Linked DNA regions of Macaca fascicularis. The protein of the gene in region 3 binds, or shares a complex with, the protein of the main gene of each other region. Links are inferred from orthologs where the notes say so. Each region holds a gene or a part of one and is shown on either strand. Other genes may lie near its edges.

Region 1 (4,234 bases), on a different chromosome or scaffold from region 3:
AGATTGCTAAAAATCATTCTGAAGTATTTCTAATGGTGCTAGTACTGGTTTAACGAAATAAGAATTCTGGTCAGGCGAGGTGGCTCACGCCTGTAATCCCAGGACTTTGGGAGGCCGAGGCGGGCGGATCACCTGAGGTCAGGAGTTCGAGACAAGCCTGGCCAACATGGGGAAACCCGGTCTCTACTAAAAACACAAAATTAGCCAGGCATGGTGGCACGCACCCGTAGTTCCAGCTACTCCGGAGGCTGAGGCAGGAGAATGGCTCGAACCAGGAGGCGAAGGTTGCTGTGAGCCGAGATCGGGCCACTGCACTCCAGCCTGGGCGACAGAGCAAGACTCCGTCTCAAAAAAACAAACAAAAACAAAACAGAAATAAGAATTCCATAATTTCTTCTGAAAATAAGGCCTCTGCTACATCTCTCTCCAAACTCACTATGACTGTAAAGATTCACCTTCTGATTCTATATTATACATTCAATTATATTTAAGTGTTAATCTAGAACAGTGGTCCTTAACTAAGGCTGTATATTGCCCCCAGAGGACTTCTAGCAATATGTGGAAACGCTTTTGGAGCTCATAGGTTGGGGGACTGCTACTACCATCTAATGAGTGGAGGCCAAAGATGCTGCTGAACATCCTACAATGCACAAAAACAACCTGCACAACAAAGAATTTCCCGGCCCCAAATGCCAACCGTGCTAAGGTTAAGACACACTGATCTCTTCTGAACACAAGCAAAAGCCTCCTCCTGGGACCTTTATTCTAGTCCATCCCTAACAGTCACCTAATTAAAGGACAAAACACCACGACCAGATGATTCATTTCTCAATTGCTTTAAACATGGTGGATGGCTGGCTCAAACTAAGAGTCACACAAAAATACACTGAAACAACATATCACACCAGGAGAGCAAAAACTGCAAGAAAAAAACTTTTTAATCCTTTTATTTCATATCTATCTCACATTCAATTCACAAGAGAAGCAGATACACTAACCTCCTCAAAACACAGTATTTCTTAATAATGTAAAAACTTAGGCAACAGCATTAACTGAGAAAGACTTATGTTGGGGGCGAGAGGGTGAAAAAAGCCACGCAGGTCTTTAAAATGCAAAGTTATTTCACAGTTTACTTGCAAAATGACTCAGATCATTATTACTTTTAGTCATGCCAACTTTGCTGCTCCCAAGCCTACTAGTAATGTAGAAAAAAAAACCACCATTTTTTCTGCAGTCATTAAACCAATGAAACAGAAGCTTACTGAAAACAGGTTTGTGCAACATTTCTTTTTTATTATAACTGGTATAAAAATAAAAGCAGTCCTTGGAAATGCAAATGAAGATTCTGAGAAATTTTTCATCTAAATACCTAGAGTGTGAGAAGAAAACATGCAAACAAAAGAAAACCCTAACTCACAAATCTTAACCTGTGACTATTTTCCTACTGCTTCCCTCAATGAAAACCCTGGTTTACTCTTTTTTATTTTCTTCCCTGTCAAACATTTGGAAAAGACCTCCACGTAGCGTTTCACGAACAGAACAGTGCGAAGAACAAATAAAAGCCTTGCGTGTACCTGGCAAATCTCATTCATCAGAAACGGTGGCAGCGGAGGGAGAACCGTGTTGTCTGGCGTGACCCTCTCGCTCCTTTCACAGCAGTTTTCACCACTCGAGTCTTGCCTACTACTAAAGCAAAGCTTCCCAACCCCACTTGGGTGGCTTCCATGCCCCTACAGCAAGAAAAATCAAGCATCCAGCGCAGCCTTTCCCCAGCGCAGGCGGAATGTAATCGATGCTCCTTGACCACTTAAGGAGTCGCCATAGGAAGTTAACAGGAAAGACATTTCAGCCCCATCTCAGAGACCCCACAAAAGGTGCACTGATTTCACCAAACGTGGCACTCTGGGCATGAGAAAACCACAGTCGAAACACAACCCACACCTCACACGAAGAAGGGTTTTCCGGGAGGGGGCTGGGGACGGCGTGGGGGGGTGGTTATTTTCTAGCCACGAATGCCCCTTCGTCTTTGTAAGGCTGAGCTAAACTTCAAAGCAAAGGGTTTCCACAGGACCCGCCGCCTCGGACTCGCGCCTGGGCTCTTTGCTGGGTCGCCGAAGGCATCCGAGAGAAGTGACGCGCCCGCCCCACCACGGGGAGTCCTCGCCCGCCGGGGCGGAGGGAGGCCGGGCACCCGGAGAGGAGGACCCGCCTCGGCTGCGCACCGCCTGACCTAGCTCCCGCTCGGAAGCCTCCTCGGGCGCTTCCTCCCCTTCCCTCCGGGTTTCCAAATGCCGAGGGCCGCGCAGCGGTCACCGCGGAGCGCCGCGCCCGGTCCCCCGCCAACCCGGGGTCCCCGACCCGGCCGCCCTTACCAAGCAGCAGCAGCTTGACCTCGCGCGCCGCCTTCTCGCCGTCCTCGCGGAGGTTGCGGTCGATCATCTTACTCCGCTCCACCGCCGCCTTGTCCTCGGCGCTCAGCGTGCAGCCCATGTTGCCGAGAGCGAGAGCCTGCCGCCGCTCCCTCCGCGCCCGAGTGCGGGCTCCAAGCACAGGGGAATCCTTTCTCTCTCTGAGCGGGCGTTCGAACGCCTCCCGACGGGGGCCACGCCACCCCCACCACTTCCTAAGCGGAGTCGAGAGAGACGCCGTCCGCAGAGGGGCAGACAGCAACGCGCGGCTGTTCCTCACGGCCAGGCTCTGCTTCCCGGTGCGGCTCAGCGCCCCCAAGTCTCCGGTTTGGGGTTTTGAAGCTCTGGGTACAGTGGCTGCTGCCCTCCCGCCGGTGGCCGCGCCGCAGCCTTGCCAAGCCCAGCCGAGCTCGGCCTCCGCGCGCCGCCGCGGCCCCGCCCCTCCCGCCACCCCGCGACCACTCCCAGAGCGCGCGCCCGCGCACGTGCCCTTGGACAGCGCCCACTCGGAGGGGCGCGCGCGCCCCCCGGCTCCCTACCGCGGCGCCGCGACACCCCCGAGGGCCCGGCGCCCCCTGGCAGCGTCCCCGGAGCACAACACTGACCCGCGGGCCTGTGGCCTTCTGCCCTGGGCGGGAGTGGGGTAATTTCTTTCCGTTTACTCACACCGACGGAGCTGTGCGTACCTGCCCTTTCGGGTAGGGGTGGGAGAGCTGCCAAAGTTGCCGAAAAAAGCCAGTTCTGGGCGTTTGAGCATGCCCAGCGCCGGCAGCCACACAAGGCTTTTCAAAATGCAAATCCCTGTCGGCTGGCTTTCAGGGCCGTGGGAAACAGGGAGCTGGGGAAGGAATGGAGCCTGGTGAAACCAGAGATGGGCACAGTGGAGAACAGGAAAGTCGGGGGAGGAGACTAGGAAAGGGCAACAAGGTCAACTTTCTTCCTACCTTTTGCTTCTCTTTCCTTCTTCCTATCCCTCCCTCCTTCCTTCCATTCTCAGGTTTTTCACAAGAACTCATTTTGAAGGATTTCCTTGTAACCTAAAAAAATGGGAGACAAATAATCAAAAAGTACTTTTAAATGATAAGAGCAATAAAACACACCCACAACAAGCCAATCTCCACATCATAGCAGATCTCCTCTAGAGCAGCACATAAGCTTCCATGCCAAATTTTGAGCCAATATTTATTACCGTGTTTGTAACTCCTGTACCACTGGGCATGTCGTTTTTACAGGCCTTAGCTTCTTTCCCCATAAAATGAGGAGTGCATTTATGGGGCTATGGCCCCATCCTTCCAGCTGTAACTGATCCGCCCGAGATAAGTTCCTGTGGCCTGCAGGAGGCATTACTACTCAGCACCCAATGAATGAGCAGAGGCTTAAGATCTCATCTCTCCCTGTCAATTGCACTACACCTTTCCCCTACAGATATCACAGGAAGCGTTAACTGATTAGAAAATGGGACTGGTAGCAAGGAAAAACATCTTCCTTGATGTATTAAAAATTGGGAAATGCTCCCTGGTTTTCATCTGGAAATCTTATTATCTAAAAATCATTTGAGAAAACTGGGCTTGAGTTTTCCAAGGTGAGGCTGAACTGATGATACAAGCAGAATAGCTTTCGAGTAGGTCACTGAGACCACGCTTGTGAGCTAGCAGAGACTCTGAGTTACCTCCTTATGGGACATGTCCTTTCCTGTTCTCCTATGGGAGTCACACCACCTGCTGGGCTGATGAGATGCAATTTCAAGATCTGCCTCAACTATAATCTTTTGTAATATAACAACAAAAAGGAGCAATCTTTAAATGTACTTACTCACCTTCTACACT
Region 2 (4,187 bases), on a different chromosome or scaffold from region 3:
TAGTCACTGTTCTAGGTCTGGGGACACAGCTGTGAACAAAGCAAAGATCCCTCCCTTATGGAGGTAACCCTTCTGGCGGAGCTAGACTGATAATAAATACATTGTGTATATATAGGATTTTTGTAACATTTCAAAAATATTTTAAATATGCCGTGGTCTCTCATGTCTTTTATGGCACACATGCACCCTGTCCAATGTATCTTTTGTGTAAATCTGGACTTACACTTCAAGCAAACTGCCTAGCTTGCTGAAAGGTGGAGACACCTTTCGATTCAGTCTTTTAATATGTGTTGAGTGCCACCTATGTGCAGAGCAAGATATTGGGGACTTTGGAGAGATCCAGAAGAGTGAGAAGACAGTATCCTACCTTAGGGGGTTCCCAGTCCAATGAGGGAGGCAGCCCCATGCCTTGGGAGCTCCCAAGCTACAGAAGGAGCTAACAGTCCAGTCTGGAAAGGCAAACAACTTCAGGACCCGCTTCTAAACCGGAATCCCAAGTACACCCAAAATGAATCCAGCCTTGACTGTGTGGAGCTGGGTAAACCACCTGCCTCTTATCATGATGGGGAACTAGAATGAGGACAGCTCCAGGGAACAAGAAAGGGGACACCATAGGAGCTGTCGCATGTCCCAACAGTGGGGAGGAGCTGAGGGGCAACCCTTGCTGGATTAGTGTTATCCCGGGAAGGCTTCTGGATGCGATGGGATTTGAGGTGCTGCTGCAAGAATGAATTGCTCACGGAAAGGTGGGGTGGGGGCATTCCAGGTAGAGGGTGCCTCCTGGGGGATGCAGGGAACATGAGGGTGCTGGGCAATTAAGCCTTGGGCACAAGCCTAGGCAGTCACCCCCAATTCAGAGCCAGTTGAAAATGCAGAGGAGAGAGGAAGGCCAGTGTGTGGGTGTCTTGACCAAACCCTTGAAGCTGGCCAGCGGCAAGGGCAAGGACCAGGGTCAGGGTCAGAGGTAGAGGGCGTGAGTGAAGGTGACCCAGACTGAGTCCTTCCCTAAGCGCCTAGGTTTCCTGACAGCTGTGAAGGAAGCAAGGTGAGAAAGGGTTAAGTGTGCCCCTCCACCGCCCCAAATGCTTCCTGTGTTTGAAATCCTTCAGGTCTCTGCAAACCCTCTGGCCCCCGGCCAGACGGGCATTGTCCGGGGAGCGGTTGTGGGTTGTCAGAGAGGCTGCGCAGCCTTTGTTGTGGGGCCACCTCAGGGTTCCCTCTCGCGCTCTGGCTGGGGCTGCAGAGTGCGTGCCTGGAGGGGGGCGGTGCGGGAGGCTCGCTCCCTCTCCCTCTTCCTGCCCCCCCTCTAGCCCTCCCGATGACCACATGACCAAGTGGGCTCGCGGCCAAGCCACAAGCTACAAAATGCAGCCCCTGGAGTGAGCGGGGAGCATTCTCGCTGGCAGCCGGGGTCAGGGGCAGTTGCAGCCGCGGCTGAGCAACCAGCTGCTAGGAAAGAGCTCGCCGCTGCCGCTCCCGGAGCCGCCGAGGCCAGCTTCGCGGCGCTGCCCCGCGGCGGGAGAGGAGGTTGCAGAAGAGCGGAGGCGGCCAGCGGGAGCGGCGGGGCTCAGCGCGCACACTCAGCGGCCAGGGAGCCTCCCGAGCTCCGCGCCCGCACGCGCCAGCCGCGGCTTGCGCCTTTCTTGGCCTCCTGGCGCCCGACCTCTCCTCCCCCGCGCCGGCTCGCCGGGGCCGCGGCGGCCCGAGGAGCAGCATGAATCTGCGGCTCTGCGTGCAGGCGCTCCTGCTGCTCTGGCTCTCCTTGACCGCGGTGTGTGGAGGTGAGTGCGCGCCCTCCCGCTCGCCCGGGCTGCAGCCGGCGCGCTCCTTTCCCTCCGCCCTCCTCGCACTCTCCCCGCCTCCCGGGGAGCCCGGCGCGAGCCGTGCAGTAGCAGCCACGCGCCGGCCAGCGCCAGGCAGCAGATTGACAGGGCGCCCCGGGCCATGGGGCGGCTGGCCGCAAGAACCGCTTCTTCTGCGGGGCTCAACTTGGCCTCTGGCATCATCTGCCCGTCACCTTGACCCTCCTAACTGTCGCTCGCAGTCCCAGGAGCGCAGGACCACAGGTGTGCGCCGCGTGCCCCATGCCCTGCACCCCGCGTGGTGAGGGTGGAGGCCGGGGACATGCCCGCTCCCTCGTGGATCGATGGAAGGAACTGACCAGAGTCGGGTGGGCTGGGCTCCCATGTTGAACGTCTTCTGGTCCCTGAAGGCTGGGAGCCTCCCGCCGGTCCAGGGGCGCGGGAAACCGGGGATGATGTGCCAACATGCAGACGTGACACTTGTTGCATAGGCAGGAGTGCGCGGAGGGGGTGGCGGCATGGAGCCCAGCTGTTGCTCCTTTTGGCCTGCATGTGTGAGCAGAGGCAGCCTCCCTAAGGCAGGGCCGGGCCCAGCCGGGCTGGGCTGGTCTTCTCCTCCCTAACCCCAAGGTCCTGGCTGGCCTCCTCCCCTGCACAGGATGCCCTCCCCATTGCCTCCATCCCACCCCCAGATACTTGGTTCTCTTACATCCTGGCTCCAGCCTTTCTTTCTGTCCCAGGCATGGGCATGCTTCACCTTAGTCTCCCTGTCGCTAAGCACCAAAGGAGGAAGCACAGCACCTGACCCAACCCCTCCCTGCAGCTCAGGAAAGGGGAGTCCTTTTGCCCTCACCTGCCAATACTTGGCACTAGTGCCCACGTCCGCCCCTAGCCTGGTCCCCACCCACGCCCCAGCAGCCCCATCCCGGGCTGCCTGTCCTCTGCGTGTCAATGTCTCCTGGGGCTGCCAGCTCCCACCTCCAGCTGCCACAGTCCTATGATCTGGCTGTCATTGCTGCCTGCCTGGCACCACACAAGGGGAAGGCCAAGACCAGGTGGACTAACGCCAGGACCATGGCTGGAGTCACAGGGAGGTGGGAGCAGAAAGAAGGAGAAGGCAGAGCAACGAGTTTCCTAGGGCAAGGGCACAGGGTCCTACGTGGTTCCAAACCCTCCAGAACAGGAGGGTGGCATGCAGCCCAGGAGCCTCCGAGGGGTCCAGCCAGCTCTGCCTGCCTCTCATCGCAGGCCACCTCCTTTCTCTGCTCTTGCTTTTTGGCCCTGTTGTGGCCCTGGGAATACTGCCTGACTTCTCAGAAAGGCGTGGTGGTTGGGGCTGGCACCTCCTGCCTCCAGGTAGCTGGCCAGTGATCTCTCTCTTCAAGACCTGAGCATGAAGTCAGCCACCACGACAGTAAGAAGTGGGCAGGTTTTTTCCATAGAAACTCCTATCAGGCAGGTAACAGAGGGAGCAAAAGATACTAATGTAAGATACAAATGTAAGATACAAATGATACACCATACCAGCCTGTCCTCAGGGAGCCTACCATCTGGTGTCATTAACAAGGCATGATACTTGTACAATACCACCACAGGCAAATAGTCCAGCGTGGTGCCTTCAGGGAAGAAAAAGACTGGGTGCAGAGAGAGTGTTCCAGAGGAAGGTGGGGCTTCTGGATCTGCACACTTGGTGCTCCCCACACAGGCTGTGGGGAGACTCCTAGCCAATAGACAACCATTCAGACCCTCCTGGGGCCCAGTCATTGGGACAGTACTAGCAAAGGGGAGACAGCTGGTTTCAAGGGAAGGGAAGTTGGCCAGGATGCCTGAACACGGTGTGGCTGGTCCAGAGCCTGCCACTTCGTGCTTTAATACCCCCGTCTTCATTAGGTAATCTGTCTACTCTGATTTGGGTAAATTCGTTGCCCTCACATTTTGCTCAAGCCTCATGTTGGAAACTTTCAGGGCTCTCACTGACTTCTCTACTCCCTGACTTCTCCTGGAGCCAAGAAGGGGCACGTCCCTGGAGGTGGCCACCAGCCAAGGGTCCAGGTACACATGTCCTGCTCCTGCTGGCTCCTGTCCTGGGTTAGAAGTAGGAATCCCAGAACCACTTTGTCCTTGGCCCAGACTGACATGCTGTCCCCGGCCAGAGTCCCCAGTCAAAGTTCCAGCCTGAAAACCATACTTCCTCCTCTCCACAGTCTGTCCTGACTTGGAATGTCCGCCCCCGACCCCTCATCACCCCGATACCACCGTGTACACTCCTCCACTGCCTCCTGACCTCGGATACACTTTGCTCTTGTGAGTCTGAGAACTCCTGGGCCAGGGCCAAGTGTCCCTCAGTCTCTGAGTACCTCTCTTTTTCCCCTTCTCCTCCCCCTC
Region 3 (5,024 bases):
CCTCCCAAAGTGCTGGGATTATAGGCATGAGCCACCTTGCCTGGCCAATTCCAGCTTTTGTAAGTCTTTTGCCTTGGATGTGGTTAAGGCTCAGCTCCTGCTTTTGTTCCATCTCACTATTACCCAACTTTAGGTGGTGGAAATGGTGCGTATTTTTAAAAAATCTTACGTCGTGCATCTTCCTTCCTTCCTTCCTTCCTTCCTTCCTTCCTTCCTTCCTTCCTTCCTTCCTTCCTTCCTTCCCTCCCTCCCTCCCTCCCTCCCTCCCTCCCTCCCTCCCTCCCTCCTTCCTTCCTTCCTTCCTTCCTTCCTTCCTTCCTAGAGGTCCTGGAGAGGTGATGAGATGGGGCAAAGTGAGCTTCTACAGAACTTTCCCCACAGCATCCTCCAGTGACTGCGTCTCTTTCTAGAGACCCCCCTCCTCTAGCTCAACTTCCTGACCCCCTGTGGTCTTATACAAACCTCTTGGTCCACGGAGGGTAGTAAAAACCTGAGAACTGAAATGTATCCAAGTTCTCGCCACATAGTAATTCATACACTCCTTCTTCCACCTATGGATTCCCCTTTTCCCTCACACGTTACGTCATCCATCCACTTACTCACTCATCAGCCATTCACCGGGCCGGCAGGGCAAGGTGGCTCATGCCTATAATTCCAGCACTTTGGGTCATCTGAGGTCAGGAGTTTGAGACTAGCCTGGCCAATATGGTGAAACCCTGTCTCTACTAAAAAAACAAAAAAAAATTAGCCTGTAATCCCAGCTACTGGGGAGGCTGAGGCGGGAGAATCGCTTGAACCCGGGAGGCGGAGGTTGCAGTGAGCCGAGATTGCAGCATTGCACTCCAGCCTGGGCAACAAGAGTGAAACTCTGTCTCAACAAACAAACAAACAAACAAACAAGCAAACAAACAGCCTTTCACCTACGACATGCCAGGTACTGTGTTATGTTCGTGCTTGGAGAAGAAGAAAAGCAAACAATCAACTGTAGCAGAATTCACTTTATTTCCTTGGGCAAAACATTGACCTTGTTGGGCCTTTGTTTCCTACAGATTTAATGACTTGTTTAGAGATAATTTTGTCCTGGATTTCTTCCATCCTGTGACTACCTTCAACCTTCAAAAGCATCCTGTGCCATCTGCAAACTGCAAACTGCAGTCTACACTAGTGTAGGGGGATTTCTCTAGAAACCACGGAAGTTCTCAAGGGAGGGTCAAAGCCAAGGGGTAGCGAAAGATGAAGCCAGAGGCAAAGTAGGAGAAGACCCTCGTGTGACACCTGGTCTGGGTGAGGGCTGGGGGTGCAGGAAGGGAGCCAGGGGGCCAGACCTGCCTGCCAGGAGGGCCTGCCAGATGCCCTGATGATCCTGCGAAATCTTACACCCTCTTTGCTCCCTACCAGCCCTGGCTCCAGCTCAGGCTGGATTGCAATCTGCATAATGTGTCCCATTTAGATTGGATGGGAGGGGGTGAGAACAGGAGGGCGGAGAGCACTGAGGAGGGAGTGCCCTGAAGGGCAGGCAGGAAGTGGTGGCCAGAGGAAAGTGGAGGGATGGAGGCTGGGGTGAAGGTGGGTGGCAACCAGAAGGGGGAGGCGGGGCCAGGAGAGCAGACTTGCAAAACCACAGATAATGTTCAGCCCAGCACAGTAGGGGTCAATTTGGTCCACTTGCTCAGTGACAAAAAAAAAAAAAAAAAAAAAAAAAAGTGGGCTGTCACTTAAAGATTTTGACTCACAAGAGAGGGGCTGGTCTGGAGGTGGGAGGAGGGAATGACGAGTCAAGGAGGAGACAGGGACGCAGGAGGGTGCAAGGAAGTGTCTTAACTGAGACGGGGGCAAGGCAGGAGAGGGTGGAGGAAATTCTGCAGGAGACAGGCTTCCTCCAGGGTCTGCAGAACCCAGAGGCAGCTCCTCCTGAGTGCTGGGAAGGACTCTGGCCATCTTCAGCCCTTCTTACCCTCTGAGGCTCAAGCCAGAAATTCAGGCTGCTTGCAGAGTGGGTGACAGAGCCACGGAACTGGTGTCCCTGGGACCCCCTGCCCGTCTTCTCTCCACTCCCCAGCATGGAGGAAGGTAGTGATTTTGACAACTACTATGGGGCAGACAACCAGTCTGAGTGTGAGTACACAGACTGGAAATCCTCGGGGGCCCTCATCCCTGCCATCTACATGTTGGTCTTCCTCCTGGGCACCACGGGCAACGGTCTGGTGCTCTGGACCGTGTTTCGGAGCAGCCGGGAGAAGAGGCGCTCGGCTGATATCTTCATCGCCAGCCTGGCAGTGGCTGACCTGACCTTCGTGGTGACGCTGCCCCTGTGGGCTACCTACACGTACCGGGACTATGACTGGCCCTTTGGGACCTTCTCCTGCAAGCTCAGCAGCTACCTCATCTTTGTCAACATGTACGCCAGCGTCTTCTGCCTCACCGGCCTCAGCTTCGACCGCTACCTGGCCATCGTGAGGCCAGTGGCCAACGCTCGGCTGAGGCTGCGGGTCAGCGGGGCCGTGGCCACGGCGGTCCTGTGGGTGCTGGCCGCCCTCCTGGCCATGCCTGTCATGGTGTTCCGCACCACCGGGGACCTGGAGAACACCACCAAGGTGCAGTGCTACATGGACTACTCCATGGTGGCCACTGTGAGCTCGGATTGGGCCTGGGAGGTGGGCCTGGGGGTCTCGTCCACCACCGTGGGCTTCGTGGTGCCCTTCACCATCATGCTGACCTGTTACTTCTTCATCGCCCAAACCATCGCTGGCCACTTCCGCAAGGAGCGCATCGAGGGCCTGCGGAAGCGGCGCCGGCTGCTCAGCATCATCGTGGTGCTGGTGGTGACCTTTGCCCTGTGCTGGATGCCCTACCACCTGGTGAAGACGCTGTACATGCTGGGCAGCCTGCTGCACTGGCCCTGTGACTTTGACCTCTTCCTCATGAACGTCTTCCCCTACTGCACCTGCATCAGCTACGTCAACAGCTGCCTCAACCCTTTCCTCTATGCCTTCTTCGATCCCCGCTTCCGCCAGGCCTGCACCTCCGTGCTCTGCTGTGGCCAGAGCAGATGTGCGGGCACCTCCCACAGCAGCAGTGGGGAGAAGTCAGCCAGCTACTCTTCGGGGCACAGCCAGGGGCCTGGCCCCAACATGGGCAAGGGTGGAGAACAGATGCACGAGAAATCCATCCCCTACAGCCAGGAGACCCTTGTGGTTGACTAGGGCCGGGAGCGGAGAGAAGCCTGGTGCCCTCAGCCCTCCCCAGCCTTTGCCCTTGCTTTCTGAAAATCAGGTAGTGTGGCTACTCCTTCTCCTGTGCACATCCTTTAACTGCCCCCTGACTCCTGACCCGCCCTGTCCTCCTCTACTGCTTTATTCCTTCTCAGAGGTTTGTGGTTTAGGGGAAAGAGACTGGGCACTACGGACCTGACCTTGCACAAGCCATTTAATCTCACTCAGCCTCAGTTTCTCCATTGGTATGAAATGGGGGAAAGTCATATTGATCTTAAAATGTTGAAGCCTCAGTCTGGACTCAATAAAAGCTTGTTTCCCTCCGCTGCTTTCTTAGATCTGCAACCGTCTTTTCTCCCTCCTTTCCTTGTAGTTTTTCCCCCCAACACTCTCTGCAGCTGTCGCTCCTCATCCCTGCCTTCTGGCACCAATCCCCTCCTATAGCTCATCCCCCCTCCGTCCATCCCTCCTTCTCCCCTGTCTACGTTCTTGTTCTGAAGGGCTACTAAGGGTTAAGGATCCCAAAGCTTGCAGAGACTGACCCTGTGTAAGCTCTCTATCCTGTTTTCTGAGTGTGAGGCAGGGAATGGGCTGGGGTGGGGGTGGGCTGTGTGTCAGCAGGTAATTAGCACTCCAGCCCTTAGATATGGGAGCTCCAGAGCTTGCCCTAAAATTGGATCACTTCCTTGTCATTTTGGGCACTGGGGCTAGGGTGATTCCTGCAGTTCCCCCATGGCACCACATCACTGACTAGATATGCTTTCTCCAAATTGTCCGCAGACCCTTTCATCCTTCCTCTATTTTCTATGGGAATTGGAAGGCAGCAGGGCTGATGAATGGATGTACTCCTTGGTTTCATTATGTGTGTGTTGGGAAGGGAAACTAGAGAGAGAGGATGGAGGGGTGTCTGCATTTAGTCCAGACACTGCTTGGCTCGCTCCCCAAGTCCTTCTGTCTCTGACTTCCTGCAGAACTGTGAGCTGAAGGTTTTCCTCGTCTCCCCATCTTACTCCATCACACTGATTTCTTTCTTGGGCACTAGTACTACTTGGTGCCAAGAGTCATGTTGTTTGGGATGGAGATGCCTGCCTCGCCTCTGTGTGTTGTACTTACATGTCTATATGGGCAAGCCTGGCATGAACAGCAGTGTGCCTGGATCATTTGGACGAACCTCCTCCCACCCCCCACTCCACTGCATCTCTGCTGTTCATACATTCCCCTTGGCGGGGGGTGGTGGGGGGCAGGGACACACTGAGGCAATGAAGAATGTAGAATAAAAATGAATCCATCCCCCCACTGGATTTGGGGGCTCCAACGGCTGGTCCGTGCTTTAGGAGAGAAGTTAATGTTTGCACCAGGCTTCCTGTAGGGAGGTTCCTCCCCAAAGCAGCTGGCGCTAAGGCTTGGGGGCGTCCTACTGAGCTGGGTTCCCGCTCCTTCTTGGGCTCCATGAAGGAAGTAAGAGGCTGGTTGAGAGCTTCCCTTGGCCCCTTTCTGGTGCCTCCCCACCTGGCTTCAAATTTATGAGCATTGCCCTCATCATCCTTTCTTGTTCCAGAGTCAGTGGTCCTCTTCCTAAGGAGGTCTGCTTGCCATGGGCCAAAAGGCACTGGGTGGGTTTTTTTCTCTTCCTACCCTCAGGATTGGACCTCTTGGCTTCTACTGGATTGGGGATCTGGGAATAGAGACTGTGATGGGGCAGATGGCATGATGTCTACACTGCCAGAGAGACTGTGAGGATGAGATTAATAGTGGGGCCTCTGTGAGCTAGAGGCGGGGAGTGTCTATTCCGGGTTTTGTTCTTGGAGGACT

The links.
Region 1: the proteins of APLNR (region 3) and GNAI1 are in contact, whole or in part, in a cryo-EM structure (PDB 8XZF), measured with the Homo sapiens proteins. The link is inferred for Macaca fascicularis from reciprocal best matches to the Homo sapiens genes APLNR and GNAI1. Residues at the interface, in NP_005152.1 of Homo sapiens: Arg62, Ser63, Ala64, Asp126, Arg127, Ala130, Ile131, Val132, Pro134, Val135, Ala136, Ala138, Arg139, Arg141, Leu142, Ile224, Ile228, His231, Phe232, Arg236, Glu238, Arg245, Leu246, Ile249, Ile250, Phe312, Asp313, Pro314, Arg315; in NP_002060.4 of Homo sapiens: Glu28, Arg32, Asp193, Leu194, Glu308, Lys314, Asp315, Asp341, Ile343, Ile344, Lys345, Asn347, Leu348, Lys349, Asp350, Cys351, Gly352, Leu353, Phe354.
Region 2: the proteins of APLNR (region 3) and APLN are in contact, whole or in part, in a cryo-EM structure (PDB 8XZG), measured with the Homo sapiens proteins. The link is inferred for Macaca fascicularis from reciprocal best matches to the Homo sapiens genes APLNR and APLN. Residues at the interface, in NP_005152.1 of Homo sapiens: Tyr35, Phe78, Trp85, Tyr88, Thr89, Tyr93, Ser106, Ile109, Phe110, Met113, Pro163, Val164, Arg168, Gln180, Cys181, Tyr182, Met183, Tyr185, Glu194, Glu198, Leu201, Gly202, Ser205, Tyr264, Lys268, Tyr271, Ser275, Cys281, Asp284, Leu285; in NP_059109.3 of Homo sapiens: Arg66, Pro67, Arg68, Leu69, Ser70, His71, Lys72, Gly73, Pro74, Met75, Pro76, Phe77.

Annotation. Positions count from the first base shown.
Region 1 is NC_088377.1:141,289,691-141,293,924, forward strand, and holds the start of GNAI1 (guanine nucleotide-binding protein G(i) subunit alpha-1), read right to left. Parts: upstream 2,801-4,234; 5' UTR 2,491-2,800; coding exon 2,373-2,490; intron 1,926-2,372; exon of another isoform or gene 1,575-1,925; intron 1-1,574. UniProt on the Homo sapiens protein: Guanine nucleotide-binding proteins (G proteins) function as transducers downstream of G protein-coupled receptors (GPCRs) in numerous signaling cascades.
Region 2 is NC_088395.1:135,920,636-135,924,822, reverse strand, and holds the start of APLN (apelin), read left to right. Parts: upstream 1-1,387; 5' UTR 1,388-1,714; coding exon 1,715-1,781; intron 1,782-4,187. UniProt on the Homo sapiens protein: Peptide hormone that functions as endogenous ligand for the G-protein-coupled apelin receptor (APLNR/APJ), that plays a role in cadiovascular homeostasis. Functions as a balanced agonist activating both G(i) protein pathway and beta-arrestin pathway of APLNR.
Region 3 is NC_088388.1:16,377,342-16,382,365, forward strand, and holds the start of APLNR (apelin receptor), read left to right. Parts: upstream 1-1,814; 5' UTR 1,815-2,060; coding exon 2,061-3,203; 3' UTR 3,204-5,024. UniProt on the Homo sapiens protein: G protein-coupled receptor for peptide hormones apelin (APLN) and apelin receptor early endogenous ligand (APELA/ELA), that plays a role in the regulation of normal cardiovascular function and fluid homeostasis.